2 linked regions of the Canis lupus familiaris genome follow. The protein of the gene in region 1 purifies or fractionates together with the protein of each later gene. This does not show direct contact. Links are inferred from orthologs where the notes say so. Each region holds a gene or a part of one and is shown in the gene's direction. Other genes may lie near its edges.

The links.
Region 2: the proteins of RPL13A (region 1) and RPL7L1 purify together in Homo sapiens (affinity purification with mass spectrometry; 3 studies listed by BioGRID and IntAct, with this or other methods). This does not show direct contact. The link is inferred for Canis lupus familiaris from reciprocal best matches to the Homo sapiens genes RPL13A and RPL7L1.

Annotation. Positions count from the first base shown.
Region 1 is NC_049222.1:107,686,139-107,693,764, reverse strand, and holds RPL13A (60S ribosomal protein L13a), read left to right. Parts: upstream 1-3,213; 5' UTR 3,214-3,311; coding exon 3,312-3,326; intron 3,327-4,760; coding exon 4,761-4,833; intron 4,834-4,879; exon of another isoform or gene 4,880-4,963; intron 4,964-5,211; coding exon 5,212-5,277; intron 5,278-5,473; coding exon 5,474-5,575; intron 5,576-5,614; exon of another isoform or gene 5,615-5,699; intron 5,700-5,783; coding exon 5,784-5,869; intron 5,870-5,906; exon of another isoform or gene 5,907-5,979; intron 5,980-6,047; coding exon 6,048-6,107; intron 6,108-6,167; exon of another isoform or gene 6,168-6,254; intron 6,255-6,380; coding exon 6,381-6,503; intron 6,504-6,702; coding exon 6,703-6,789; 3' UTR 6,790-7,293; downstream 7,294-7,626. Other genes in the region: FLT3LG (fms-related tyrosine kinase 3 ligand precursor), read left to right, coding at 2,024-2,242. UniProt on the Homo sapiens protein: Associated with ribosomes but is not required for canonical ribosome function and has extra-ribosomal functions.
Region 2 is NC_049233.1:11,630,040-11,637,673, forward strand, and holds the start of RPL7L1 (60S ribosomal protein L7-like 1), read left to right. Parts: upstream 1-2,749; 5' UTR 2,750-3,015; coding exon 3,016-3,056; intron 3,057-3,670; coding exon 3,671-3,779; intron 3,780-4,462; coding exon 4,463-4,626; intron 4,627-5,636; coding exon 5,637-5,774; intron 5,775-6,723; coding exon 6,724-6,833; intron 6,834-7,024; coding exon 7,025-7,233; 3' UTR 7,234-7,239; intron 7,240-7,634.

The DNA of each region.
Region 1 (7,626 bases):
TAAGTGATGCAGGCAAAGGCCTTAAAGTGAGGCTGTCCAACAGAAATAGAACACAAGCCACACACGTCATTTAAAACTTTCTAATATTGGGGCACCTGGTTCTCTCAGTTAGTAAAGCATGCGACTCTTGATCTCAGGGCTGTGAGTTCACGCCCCACATTGGGCACAGAGATTACTTAAAAAAATAAAAAACTTTCTAGGGGCACCCAGATAGCTCAGTTGGGTGAGCGTCCAACTCTTGCTCTCAGCTCGGGTCTTGATCTCAGGGTCATGGGTTTGATCTGCGCTGGGCTCTACAGTGGATGTGAAGCCTACTTAAACAAACAAAAAATTTCTCCACATATTTAAAGTTCTTGAAATTTACATTTGCAAAAAAGTAGATTCACCTGCTCAAATTGTTCCAAACAAGTTTCCAAAAAGGGGCAGCCCGGATGGCATAGCGGTTTAGCGCCACCTGCAGCCCAGGGCGTGATCCTGGGGTCCCGGGATCAAGTCCCGCATCAGGCTCCCTACATGGAGCCTGCTTCTCCCTCTGCCTGTATCTCTCATGAGTAAATAAAATAAAAATCTTAAAAAAAAACAAGTTTCCAAAAAGAAACAAGTTGTTTTTGCTATTTTTTTAAAGATTTTATTATTTGAGGGATCCCTGGGTGGCACAGCGGTTTGGTGTCTGCCTTTGGCCCAGGGCTCGATCCTGGAGACCCGGGATCGAATCCCATATCGGGCTCCCGGTGCATGGAGCCTGCTTCTCCCTCTGCCTGCGTCTCTGCCTCTCTCTCTCTCTCCCTGTGACTATCATAAATAAATAAAAATAAAAAAAAAAGATTTTATTATTTGAGAGAAGACAGAGCACCCTCAAATGGGGGGAGGAGCAGAGGGAAGGGGAGAAGCAGACTCCCCACTGAGCAGGGAGCCCATGGGATCATGACCTGACCTGAAGGCAGACACTTAACCAACTGAACCACCCATGCACCTCTCCTTTTTTTCTCTTTTCTTTTTGATAAAGAGCAGGGAGGGGGGAACAGAGGGAGATGGTGAGAGAGAATCTTAACCAGTCTCCACTTCTACCATCAAATTGACTGGGGACTTGATTCCCTCACCCTGAGATCAGGACCTGAGCCAAAATTAAGAGTCAGATGGGGTAACTGACAGCGCCCCCCCCCCCCCAGCCCCAGGATCAGTTTCTAAGTTTACTTTATTTTTAAAGATTTTATTTATTTATTCATGATAGTCACACAGAGACTTTTTTTTTTTTTTTAAGATTTATTTATTTATTCATTCAGAGAGCCCGATGCGGGACTCGATCCCGGGTCTCCAGGATCACATCCCAGGCTGCAGGCAGCACTAAACCACTGTGCCACCGGGGCTGCCCGGGATCCCAGTTTCTAAGTTTAAATAATTTTTCACTTTAGCACTTGTTTTTGTACAATAATTTTTCAAAACAATTTTTAAAGATTTTATTTATTTATTCATGAGAGACACACAAGAGAGAGGCAGAGATGCAGGCAAAGGGAGAAGCAGGCTCCCTACAGGACCCCAGGATCACACCCTGAGCTGAAGGCAGACCCTCAACTGCTGAGCCACCCAGGCTTCCCTTGTACAATAATTTTTGTTACAATTTTTTTTGAAAAGGTAATCCACTGAGAAGTTTTCGTCCTGTTCTTGCTTCTGTCCACTCGGTTTTCCTGCTCTCCTAATAAACACACTACCAGTTAAGTTTAAAGTAGGTAAGATGTAAAACTCAGCTCCTCAGTTGCACTGGGCACATTTGGAGTACTCGGCATTCACCGTGGCTGCTCTGCGGCTGTGTGGGAGCGCAGGGATCTCACGGTCTCCATCTTTGCAGAGTTAGTTCTCTTGGACAGTGATGCCCTAACACACAGTGGGCACTCACTGGAAAGGGAATTGTTCTCAATACTGAGTCTGTGCCGAGCACTGAGCTTGGTGCTCTCCTTCCTCTCTTCTGTCCACGGATCCCCAGACAGTCCACTGAGACAGACACATCTCTCATCCCGTTTTACAGAGGACACTGAGGCCCAGCGAGCGGAGCCATCTGCCCGAGGACACAGAGCTGGGACCTGGAGGGAGTCAGCTAGAGACTGGTCCCTTCCTCGACCACGCAGCCCCGCTCGCTCCCTCCCCAGGATCAAGGCAACGCCCGCCCCCAACGCCCCCAAAGCCAGCCCCAGCCCCACCTCTCCCCCTCTGTACAAAGTCCTTGCCCCCAAGAAATTGTATATAAATCATCCTTTTCTACCAGCTGTCGCCAGGCCTGTAGATGGGACAGGATGTGGACGGGGCAGTTTGGGTGCGGATCCTGGTTTTTCGGTTAATGCAATGCTTCATTCAGTCCCTGCTCTCTGAGGCCGCCTGGGGTGCAGAACCAGTGCGCGGCAGCGCCGAGACCCAGTCGGGGGGAGTCAGGACCCGCCGGCCCGGGGCTCCGGATCTGAGGGGAACAAGACCCTGGGCGCCTCGGTGCAGCGGCTGCAGTACAGGCCCTCGGAGCCCGCGGCGAGTACGCGTCCCGGCAGCCTGAGATCCCGGGGGGCGCCCTGGAGGAGAGGACTCCTCCGCAGGAAAGCACTGGGACTGTGACAGTCTGAGGCTTCAGAAGGTGGGGCTGGAGGGGAGGACATCCGAGGCCAGGGACGCAGCCGAAGCGAAAACCTCGAAGCCGCCTGGTAGTCATTCCCTCGTACGCTCTTAGAGCTCAGAGGGCAAACTATTTCCATCTGTTTTACAGACGGGGACACTGAGGCCCAGACAGGGTCAGGCGGGGGCCGGGGGGTGGGGGGGTGGGGTTCGGCCAAGTCACTGGGAGGCGGAACAGCCACTGGAATCCAGACCTTTAAGCCTAGACTGCGCGATGAAGAGAGAGCCCACTGGCCCCCTGCGGGCCACCGCGTGCCCTGCAACCTGCTGTCGCTTCAGCGAGTGACGGCGCTTCCCTCCGCTCCCCGCAGACACCCGACCAAGCCCCCAACGCGGAAATTCGCAGCCCCTCAAAAATATGGCTGCCGAGGCTGGACAGTCCCGTCCCAGCGGAGCCGCATCATACCCCACGTGATCTCTCGCCCAGCACAGCAATGGCTGCTTAAGAGCCGACGAGAAGGACTGGACGCGGATTGGACAGTTAGAAGACGACCCGCCTTCTAGCGGCTCCCTTTGCGCACGCGCAAAACACTCTAGCCAATGAAAAGACGGAAAGCTGCCCGTACAGCCCATGCGGCGTCACTTCCTCCGCCCCTGTTTCAAGGGATAAGAAACCCTGCGCCGAGGCTTCCTCCTTTCCCAGGCGGCTGCCGAAGATGGCGGAGGGGCAGGTGCGGGCTCTTCGCGGGCCGGGGAGGCGTGGGGCCGGGTGGGTTCCAGGCCGGAATGGGGTAGGGCCCTCTTTGCCCTCATAAGTGTGTTGTGAAACCTAAACTCGATAATTGAACGAAAGGAGAAGCTTTCGGCCTAAGGAATCTGCAACGGGGAAACAGGAGATAACTAGGATGGCTTCTTTTTGTTCGGGAATGGCTAAAATGCGGCATTACCCCTTTTCTCTTAGGGGCATAATGGGGGCTCCCAAAATAGAAAGCTACTTTAAAAGTAGGGCTCGTTTGTCTTCCTCTCGGCCAAGCCTTGGCCGAGTTGGGCCCGTGTGTCCTTAGCGACGGAAAGCGCCTGGGCTGTGAGAAGCCAAGGATTGGCCAAAATGGAGGGCGCTACCAGCCTGCTCGAGGCGCGCGTCCCCTCACCCTCGTGGGAGTTCTCACCCGCCGCCTGCAGCTCTGGACGCTTTCGTAGGAGGTCTTAGGCGGTGGGTCCAGAGCGTTCCTGCCTACTGGACGTCCAGGAACGAATTGCTCTTTTCGTTGCTCCTGGAGCAGAGAACTGATGAAAGGCTCCGCTGCCCATGGCCACCTGAGGGACACCGCAGAAGCGGCGGACTCCTTGTCTTGATTTTTTTAAATATGAAAGCGAGGATGGTTCCGGAAAGGGTGTCCATGTGAATTTATGTAATGAGTCTGAGCGGTAAGGGGAGGAAAAGGCACGTTTGTGGAGTCCGGAGAGGTGGTAAGGTTCTCTGAACACGTGTTCGCGCAGTCAACTGTGCCTGGCACCATTGGGTTTATATTTAGTGTAATACGGTTAACATACCATAATGTTCCTGAGGCAGATATTGTTATCCCCATCTTCCAGGTGAGGAAGCTGGAGATTTTTAGCCAAAGTCACATTGTCAGGAAGTCTGGCTTTAGATTCTGTATCCTTCTGCCTTCCAACAATCACAAGTATATAACAAGCACTGGGTAAGAGTGGGGACTTGACTCGTGGTGAAGAAGCTAAGGATTTGACTTTGAGAAGTTCGCCCAGGGATGCTGAGCTAAATTCGACATAAGATCTGGCACCAGCTCCTGACTACTCTGCAGAGCCTCTCCCACTGACTGGATCAATGGACAGACTGTTGCCAGCCTTTGTTCAAATCCCAGCTCATCCTCTCACCCTTGAATGTAATTGGGGCTTAAGACTTCCTGCCCTTTAGGCAGCTGAGATGTGAGGAAAGGCCTTTGTTTTAATTCTGTTCACGGAAATCGTGTCAACCTTTGGTTTCTTGGCCACATCTGTTCGGTGGGCCTCGGGTCCTGGTTTTCAGGCCTGCTAGTGGATAGGGCACTCTGGGGGATAAGGTGACAAACCAGCAGCACTAGTTGCTTTGGGTGGGGAGTCAAAGCTGAAGATGCATCTAAGCCTTTTTATCCTATCTCCACCAGGTCCTGGTGCTCGATGGCCGAGGCCATCTCCTGGGCCGCCTGGCGGCCATTGTGGCCAAACAGGTGCTTCTGGGTAAGTCTGCTCTGCCCACGGTTCCTCTGGGCATGGGTCCCATCCAGCGGTCAGTGATGAGCAACAATCACCATCTTTCGTTTGAGTCTCACGACCATGAGATCAACCCCATGCACCGCTCTGAGACCTACTAGCTACTCCCTCTCCTGGGGTCTGGGAGTTCGAGATGGAAAATTTTCAGTCAGGCTGTAAATATAAGCATAAATCAAGTTCTTCTTGGGGCAAGAGGTTCCCCTGCAAGAGGCCTTGGCTTTCTTGTACGTTGTGGTCAGCTCCACACAGAAGGATCCATGTTCCAGGGTCTTCAGGAGGTGGGTGGTAACCAGTTTATATGTAGAGCCGCTTGTAGCCTTTGTTCGCACTTTCCTTTTCCTCTAGGCCGGAAGGTTGTAGTCGTGCGCTGTGAAGGCATCAACATTTCTGGCAATTTCTACAGAAACAAGTGTAAGTTAGGACCTGGGAGGAGGGCTGGAGGGTGGACCTGGGAGATTCGCAGTCTTCATTGGCTCCAGGGGCGAGCCCACTGGTGGTGGGAAGTGCTCATTTGCGTTCCCGAACAGGCCCTTGGGAGCATGGATGTGTGTTGGAAGAAGTTAGCCTTTGGCTGGGGGCTGAGGTTTCACACCCTCTCTCTCCCCAGTGAAGTACCTGGCCTTCCTCCGCAAGCGGATGAACACCAACCCATCCCGTGGCCCCTATCACTTCCGGGCACCCAGCCGTATCTTTTGGCGGACAGTTAGAGGTGAGCGGGGCCTGAGGACTGCAGGTGGCGAGGGGATGGGTGGCCAGTGATGAGGACTTCTCCCACTTGTATTCGAGTTTCCTGACTATGAGATGACTCCACATGCACTACCATCTGAGGCCACCACTGTGACCGTGGGGTTGGGTGGGGTTGGGGGCAGGGTCCTCATGAGCCCCACTGAGCAAGTCTGTTGGTCATCCACCCACAGGCATGCTGCCCCACAAGACCAAGCGAGGCCAGGCTGCCCTGGACCGCCTCAAGGTGTTTGATGGGATCCCACCACCCTATGACAAGGTGAGCTCCACAGCCTCCTGTACAGCATTCATGTGTCTGGCGTCCATGATGTTGCACAGTTGTACCTACATTGTTTGATCCTCATGAGAACAGCATTGGCTGAGACGCTGTCCCAGCAGCCTTCTTCCCTGTCTGTCCCTTATTCCAGGGCTCTTAAGCTCCTCTCCTTCTCTAACAGAAAAAGCGAATGGTGGTTCCAGCTGCCCTCAAGGTGGTACGCCTGAAGCCTACACGAAAGGTGAGTTCCAGGTTAGGCTGGGTACTCTGACTAGGGGGCAAATCTGAGGTCCCTGAAACTGGCAGATGATGGCTCTTTCTCACGATGGTCTGCGGATGCCACAGTGGGCAGTGCCGATAATGCCAATGGCTCAGCTGATGCCAGCAGGAGCAGGGAGCCCCTTGGGGTGGCTGTATCTTTAGCTGAGACCTGCTGAGAAAATTTGGGTCCTCCAGGACAGCTTGCCACCCTGGCTCCACTTGGCTTAGAACTTTCTTCTCCCCTCCCACACAGTTTGCTTACCTGGGGCGCCTGGCTCACGAAGTTGGCTGGAAGTACCAGGCAGTAACAGCCACCCTGGAGGAGAAGAGGAAGGAAAAGGCCAAGATCCATTATCGGAAGAAGAAACAGCTTATGGTGAGGATGGGCTGGAACCAAAGGGTACCGTGTTCTTGGGCAGGGCCTTGAGGATGATCTCTCTGGACAGAGTGGTCTTTGTTCAGCCCCAGAGGCCTCTGCCTGAGGCCCGACTTGGCAGGGAGTGGAATTGGGCACCTAGGATGAGGAAGGTCTTGGGCAACACCCATTGACCATTGTCTGTTCTCTTACCCCACAGAGGCTACGGAAACAGGCCGAAAAGAATGTGGAGAAGAAAATTGACAAATACACAGAGGTCCTCAAGACCCATGGACTCCTGGTCTGAGCCCAATAAAATTGACTTATTCATCATGCTTGGCCTGGCCTGCCCTTCCTCCATCGCCGCCCTAGGATATGGGGGACTCCCAGGGGCTGCTGCCCTCATGCCTCAGGCAACCTGGGGCTTACAGTACTGGGAACACAAGGCTTTAGTCACTACTGTTAAGAAAGGTCTTCTAAAAAGTTAAAAAAAAAAATTCTTAAGAGTTCTGAGGCATAAGTGCCTGTGACTCATTCCTGAGAGTTATTAGTGCCATTTCACTGTAAGCAAGAAAGACCTGGAAAATGGAGGGGAGCCCTTCGTTGAGAATGGGGTGTATTTAAACTTGTCATGCACAGTCAGGCGCTATACTCTGTAGCTGTTAGGGTGTGAGGATGCTGGGGGCCAAGCCTGGTGTACAGAGGTAGTTCCAGATCTGTAGATGGGGAACAGCCAAGGGGTCACAGGCTCTACCCTTGTGCTATCCCTGTAATTCTGTGATCCAAACCTAATAAATTATTTTTAAAGAAACTTGGCGTCTTGCAGTGTGTGTCTGCTGTGGAGGCAGGCCCAGGGGAGTGAGGCCCTCAGCAAGAAAAGGGGCTGGGAGGATAGGACTGGCCATGCTGGAGTCCTTCCCACAACAGTTGCATAATGACCTATTCTTCATGGAAGAGCTTCTGCCTACCAAGGAATTTTGAGTCGTATGTAGTTGAATTTCTCAAAACCATCATGGTTGCCCAGCAGATTGTCTAATTCAGCTGCAAAGTATGAAATTGTCACTTTTTAAAAATTTTATTCCTAACAACAAAAAAAATAATTTTATTCCTGAGAGGCAGGTTTCTCTACAAGGGGCCAATGTGG
Region 2 (7,634 bases), on another chromosome or scaffold:
ACAAGAGAAATAGGATACTGTCAGGAAGTGGAAATGGAGATCGGCAGGCCAAGAAATAAAAAATATCATTAAGATTTCAGGATGTGAAGACCTACCTCATTGCATATAATTACATAGTGTTCCATAATTTATTTAATCATTCCCTCATGATGGACAACTAAAGTGGTCAAGAAAAAAGAGGCCTATGGCAACAGGCTAAGAAGAATAAGATTCTTGGGGCACCTGGGTGGCACAGTCCATTAAACGCCAAACTCTTGGTTTCAGCTGAGGCCATGATCTCAGGGTAGTGAGATTGAGCCTGTGTGGGGCTCAACACTCAGCGGGGAGTCTGCTCCAGATTCTCTGCCTCTCACTCTGCTCCTCTTCCTGTCCCTCCCCTATTCTCTCTAAAATAAATGAAATCTTAAGAAGGGGGGGCAACTGGGGGGCTCAGTCAGTTGAGCATCTGACTCTTGATTTTAGCTCAGGACATGATCACAGGGATGTGGGATGGATCCCCACGTGGGGCTTCGCACTCAGCACAGAATCTGCTTGTCCTCTCCATCTGCTCCTCCCGACCCCCACCCACTTGAATGCACATGTGTGCACACCCATGCACACACATTCTCTGTCGCTAAAAAAATAAAATCTTAAAGTAAAATTCTTGAGGCTGTAGATGGCCATTTCTCATTCTCACTCACTATCCTCGTTTTGAAATAAAAAGTCTTGTGTCTTGCCTAGTGCTGGAGCATATGGACAATGCTCAGTAAACAACACGTATTCAGTTAAGTGAAGAATTTGGGGGTTGAATTTGGGGGTCTTGCTCTTTCCCTCTGTATTTTGTGGAACAATGGCTTAGGCACTGAGAAGAAGTACTCTCTTAGCACCATCTGCTGGCATTGAAAACCTTTCCTGAATCATGGCCTCCAAGTCTTTCAGCCAGTATTGTTAATTGTCCTGATATTCCTCCTCTCCTTAATACCTTTAGCACCGAAGAATTTACCTTTTATCTGTACACAGATGCAGTTACAAAAGAGTGACTTATTTTTGTTCCTTATTTACTATCTAATAAATGTTTTACACTTTAGTGATCCTTGTTTTTGCCTTTTTACAAAGTGAGACACGTGAGATGCTGAGTGAGAAGGAGCTTCACACCAGACTTTGACTCCAAAGACTGTGTTGTCCTTTGAAGTTTATTCGTCAGGTAATGAGCTCTGTGAATGGCACTATCTTTCTGGCTGGACTAGTTACATAGCACATAGCAATATGATGCTTTGAGTTTAGTTACAAAACCTCAGCAGGTGGCCACTATTGTGACAGGAGCATTAGAAGACAAAGAAGTAGGAGATAAGTTCCCTGCCTTCAGAGCACCCAACCTAATCAAGGAAGCAATAAAAAAAATAGTATAGGATAAAGTCTGTGGTGATGCCTGCTAAGTGCCCAGTGCCCAAATAATGGCATTGGGATACATATACGTACACTGTGTTACATATTTGGCAATGCCTGGAGACATTGTCACATCTGGGGTGCGGATACTACTGGTATGTAGTTGGTAGAAGCCTGGGGATGCTGCTAAACATCCCACAATGCATGGGACAGCCCCCCATACTAAAGAATTATCTGGCCCAAAAAAGCCAACAGGGCTAAGACTGAGAAACCTTTGTTAGACCTTTAGCAACCACCATGAGCAAAGCAGGCATGGTCCCTGCCCTCCTAGTATCATGAGGAAATGTTTAAAATATAATAATGTGTGAGGGGCACCTGGGTAGCTCAGTGGTAGAGCATCTGCCTTTGGCTGGGGTCTTGGTACCGAGATCCTAGGATCCAGTCCTGCATCAGGCTCCACGACGGGAGCCTGCTTCTCCCTCTATGTCTCTGTGTCTCTCATGAGTAAATAAAATCTTAAAAACATATATATAATATAATAATGTATTGAAGGAATTCAGAGAAAGACACTAGAGTCTTGCTAAAGTTCAGCCCATAGACTTGAAGCATGGCATCACCGGGAAGCAGGCTAAAACTGCACAGTATCAACCCCCGGCCTCCTAGTGAATGAAAATCTGCATTTTAACGGGACCCTCAGGTGACTACGATGCATATTAATGCTGGAGACACCCTGCACTGGGGGTTTCCAGAAGACAGAACGTGGGCTATTTTTCCTTGTTTAATGAAGACCGGGAAAGAAGGAAGCAAATTCCGGGTGTTGAGAGGTATATAAAGAAGATCCCGAAACGGGCAAGGAGGAATTTCTATTCAATCCAACATAGCGTTTGCCTGCTTACCGCCAGGCATCGTGCTAAGCTCTCTAAATGGAGTATTTCACAGAATCCTCGGAACGCTATTGGGTAGGTCCATCTTATGGGTGAGCAGACCAAGGTACAGAGGTTAGATAACTTGCTCCGGGACCCACTGACTGTCTACCGTGCGGAGTCGTCCACGAACACCTCCACCCACACGGACGAGCCAAAGTCACGGCCCCAGCCCTCCCCACCCAGCAAAAAGCCGATCATGCCAGCCTGTCGTCCTCTCTCTTTTTTTAAGATTTTATTTATCCATGAGAGACACACACACACAGAAGCAGAGACACAGGCAGCGGGAGAAGCAGGCTCCACGCAGGGAGCCCGACGCGGGACTCGATCCTCGGTCTCCAGGATCACGCCCCAGGCTGAAGGCGACGCTAAACCGCTGCGCCACCCGGGCCGCCCCAGTCCTCCTCGAACTCGCGCCGCCAACCGGAAGTCGGAGGAGCGGCGCGCCCTCCACACCGGAAGTCGCAGATGCAACTTGGGAAGCGTTTCCTTGTTTATAAGCCTTGCCACCAGTGTTCAACGAATATAGTAAACGAAGAGAGCGGCTTATGAAGATGACACGGATCCTAAAGTGCTTGGAAGCTCTGTGCAACTTCGGCCGGAATCTGTGTTAGCGGCAGCTAACGGCGCCAGCTGTCGGGGGCGGTCCTCCGAGGGCTAGAAGACCCATCTCTATGGTCAAGCAAACCGAGAGCGGTCCTCTCTCCCCCACGTGGTGGGGCTGCGCATGAGCAGTAGCCGCTGCTCGGGAAACATGGCGGAGCAAGAGTGAGTGTTCGGGCTTTGAATCTCAGTGGGGTCTTGAGCATCTGGTGCCATCCACGGTGTTTATTCCTCCGCGGCGCGAATAGAAGGGTTCTTGTGGACTGAAGGAAGGACAAGAGAAAAGACTCCAGATTTCAAAGGGTGGGATGAGGAGTAAAGCCGTAGGGTTCGGGCTGACGGTCAGACGGAGGAAGCCGCCGTCAAGCCCGAGTTACCTGGAGCGGCGGCGGCGGGCTGAAGAGTGCCGGACTTGGGTTCGCTCAGCCTGACGCAAGTACTACCCCTGCAGATGAGTCTACACCCATCCTAACCCCTCGGGGTTTCTCTAGAATCACGTAGCTGCTAGTGTCTTTAAAAGGCTGTGGCAGTAAAAGCTCCATGGAGGCCTAGGGAGGGCCAGTGGCCCCAGGGTTCGTGACCTTTCACTGCTTTAGGAACGAGGGTTCCCTCGTTAAGGGGTCCATCTTGAGGACTGAAGTCAGAAACCACAGGTTTCAGGGAAGTCTGGCTTTAGGAATTTGAAGAGAGTAAGGTTTCTCGAAGCCCAAGAGATGATTCAGAATTTCATTTATGATTTGCTTTTTAGACACTTTCGCTGATTGCGATTTTCTTATCAGGCAAAGAAAAAAGATCCCTTTGGTTCCAGAAAATCTCCTGAAAAAGAGGAAGGCTTATCAGGCCCTTAAAGCCACTCAAGCAAAGCAGGCGCTTTTGGACAAGAAGGAGGTAATGATGGGGAACCAAGAGAGGGGAATTGGAATGTGTGTTTGGTGAGTTCTGTGTAGGGTGTGTTAAACTAGATTTGGCGTCGTCGACGGTGCTGTCGCCATCAATTCTAACAGGTGTACGGTTCGTGTCTTCGTTTAACAGGTGTTTATGAAACGCTTTCTGCAGGTAAAATGCAGTAGAGTTTGGTAAGGAAAAAGTGGAGTGGAGATTGTACTATAGGTTCATACCAAGTGATTTGAAAGACCACACATGCTTGTGTACCTGGAAGAAAATAATATTATACTTAAAGGTGCCAAACAGTTTTTTGCTATTTGCTAAACGTTTTTGGAAAACAGATATTTTGAAGTCAGGAAAATGAAACAAGCTCATGCTTATTCTGTACCTCATGATGCTTAACCCAATGTTAGGTTCCATAAATATGTGTTGGTAAACGCTGGCTAACAGCATGTAAATTAACTTGTTTATTTATCAGAGGCTTTTCCTAGGAGTTTCAGAGTTTTCACACTTCCATCTTCACTTGGGTACCTCATTTTTCCTTTAAATAGAATAGAAGGTGTTTGTTTGCTTAGGTTTGCGGGACATAATGGAAAATACATTCAATCGAGAGTGCCTGATGAATTACTATTGTAGAAGTAAAAAATAGAGGCACAAAATGGTGATGATGGTCTCCCTTCTTTCAGCAGAATAAAGGAAAAAAGCTCAAGTTTAAGCGACTGGAGTGGTTCCTTCATGATTCCTGGCGGCAGCAGCGTGACAGGGTGCGCCTCAGACGCCTGGAAGTGAAACCTCATGGCTTAGAAGTGCCAGATAAACATTCCTTGGCCTTCATTGTACGCATCCAAAGGTGGGGAACTTGCCACATTCCCAAGGCTGAAGCAAATTGTTGGTTCAGCTTTAGACTCCTTTCTGGGGGAAGTGAGTTATAATAGGCTTTAAGCCACTCGGGCAAGTTGTGCTGGGAATTCAGGGTCAAGCACAACGTGGTTTTTGTCTTTAAGGTTTTAGGAGAGTGACCTTAGGCAAACAGACATGAAAATACACCCAGTGCTGTGAAGGTTGACTGTTGTTGGAGCAGTACTGGTTCAGGACACTCTAAAACAGGGCCTTGAAGCTGAGACCTGCAAACATGGAAGGAATTCACAAATTTCAAGGAAGGCTTTCCAGGCATAGATGCAGAAAGTCCTGAATTGAGAGAATCAAGGCTTCTTTCTAGGAACTGAACCAAGGTCAAGTAAATGGAACGTATTTAGTGCTGGGGAGAGTTCATAAAGCTTTTTTCTCACTTAATTGTACTTTACCCAGTCTACCTGCATGTACAGCTGCCTCCCTCTTTCCAGTACCCAGGCACCCAAACCAGAAAAGTGTGTGCTTTAAATATTTTTGAGTCCTCGTTATTAACCTTCCTACCATTTCTCATAATTTCTTTCCTGGACTGTCGCATTAGCTTCCTGAGTTTCCCTGCCTCTGATGTCACACTTTCAGATCTGTCTTATATGCTCTCCTCAGTGATCATAAAGAAGAAAGGTGATTGTGTTTCCTTTCCCTAAAGTCTTTGTGCTGTTACTGCCCAGGCAGCAAGTCCAGCTTCCTTTGCTTGACGTTCACAGCCCTACACACACACTCACACACCCCCAACACACACTGAATCAGGGCCTCCCTCTGTGTTCTTATAGCACCTCAGGCATTGCTCCACATCATGTGAGAATGATTGTTTACATAGCTGCCACCTCCTGACCTGTTAGACATAGTCTGTGTCTTGCTCTCTTGATGCCCTGTAGTGGCAAACATTTTATAGTTGCTTGCTGGCCTTACGTAAACTGAATAAAGCCTGACGTCCTCTGCTGTTCATTTCAGGATTAATGGGGTGAGTTCACTGGTACAGAGGACCATTGCAAGGCTGCGCCTGAAGAAGATCTTCAGTGGTGTCTTTTTCAGAGTAACCCCCCAGACCATGAAGACACTGCGGATAGTGGAACCTTATGTGACCTGGGGGTGAGAAGATTTTTTGGGTGTGTGGATTCATATTAGATTGTATTTGAGCGTGATGAGAACACTACGATGCATGGGATACTCTTCTCTGAGGCTTGTGTTGCTGCTTCAAGAAATATTTTGTTGTGACCACAGTCACCAGAAATCAGCTGCCAGCCGTAGAACCTTGGAACGTGGGACAAGTAGAACAGGAGATAGCAGAGCTGCTGATAATGTGCCATGAGCAGTACCGTGGCAGGGCTTGTTCACTTGTAGGCTGAGGCTGAGTAAGAGGGGTAGAAAGAAATTAATTTGGGGGGTCTTCAAACAGCTTGGGGCAGTGTTTATGTAAGAGTAGTGTTCCTTCAAATATTAAAACCCAGCAAAAAAAAAAAAAAACCCAGCAAAGGCCTGGATTCTTTTTTTTTTTTTGAGATTTTACTTATTTATTTATGAGAGACAGAGAGAGAGAGAGGCAGAGACACAGGCAGAGGGAGAAGCAGGCTCCATGCAGGGAGCCTAATGTGGGACTTGATCCCAGGATTCCAGGATTACGCCCTGGGTCGAAGGCAGCACTAAACTGCTGAACCACCCAGGGATCACCAAGGCCTGGATTTAATTTCAAATTCTGGCACCATCTTGAGTAAGGGTCATATAAGGTAAGAGTCCTGAACTGTAAGCCAGCGCTTATTTTATTTTTACCTGGGAAAGTAAATTTTTTTTCTGTGGTGAATGTTTATATCCATAAATTTTAATTTCTAATTACCTAGTCAAGGCCACTCTGGTTTTTGACCCCCTTCTTCACTTGTGTAATTCCAAGCGTCCCAGCTGTAGTGTGATAACAGATTTCTTGGTGGGAAGAAGGGGGGGTGTGGACAAATCTCTCCTCGGCCAGGCTGCAGGACTGAGACAGGCCAGTGTCAGTTACAGTGCCAGGGGCTGATAAGGCTGTACTTCATTCTGCCTCACATAGATTTCCAAATCTGAAGTCTGTCCGGGAACTCATCTTGAAACGTGGACAAGCCAAGGTCAAGAATAAAACCATCCCTTTGACGGACAACACAGTGATTGAGGAGCATCTGGGTGAGTGTTCCACTTTACAGGTCAGTTGGGGTACAAAGCAAGGATCTCTGGTCTTCTTGGTGTGGAATTTAGGTCAAATTCTTCTTGGGGTCCCAAGAATCTACTAGAGTGCCCAGCTTTGGCACGTAAGAGCCTCATAGTATATACTGGAGAAGTGTTGAATAAAGGAATCTGTACCTTTTGTTTCTTAGGGAAGTATGGTGTTATTTGCTTGGAAGACCTCATTCATGAAATTGCCTTTCCGGGAAAGAATTTCCAGGCCATCTCTGCGTTCTTACGTCCTTTCCACCTCTCAATGGCCCGACATGCTACCAAGAACAGAGTGGGCTTCCTCAAGGAGGTGGGCTTACCTGGCTATCGAGGTGAACGCATCAATCAGCTCATTCGGCAGCTGAATTAAACCCAGGTGAGGCAGGGCTGGAAACTGCCCTTTGGCTGGCTTTGATGGGCCATGTCTGTCCAGTTAAAAAAAAAAAAGTGTTTTTGCATTTACCAGTATCTGAAAAGTAACTCTAGCAATGGGGGGAGTGAGAAGACTGGTAGCTACCAGTCTAACATGGAAATGTGCTTAGAACAGTGACTGCCTGGTCAGGACATGACACTATGTGTATCCAACAATTAAAGGCTAGAAAATGTCGAGTAGCAAAAAAAAAAATCTGTATCGCTGTGGTCATTTACCTGGAAATGGGGAGAGAATATTAAAAACCAGTTTCAAAAAGGACATGAAGATTTAAACCATCTATTTTGTTGAAAGTATCTTAACTTTTTGAAATTGCTTATTGTGATTAATCTGAGGTGCTT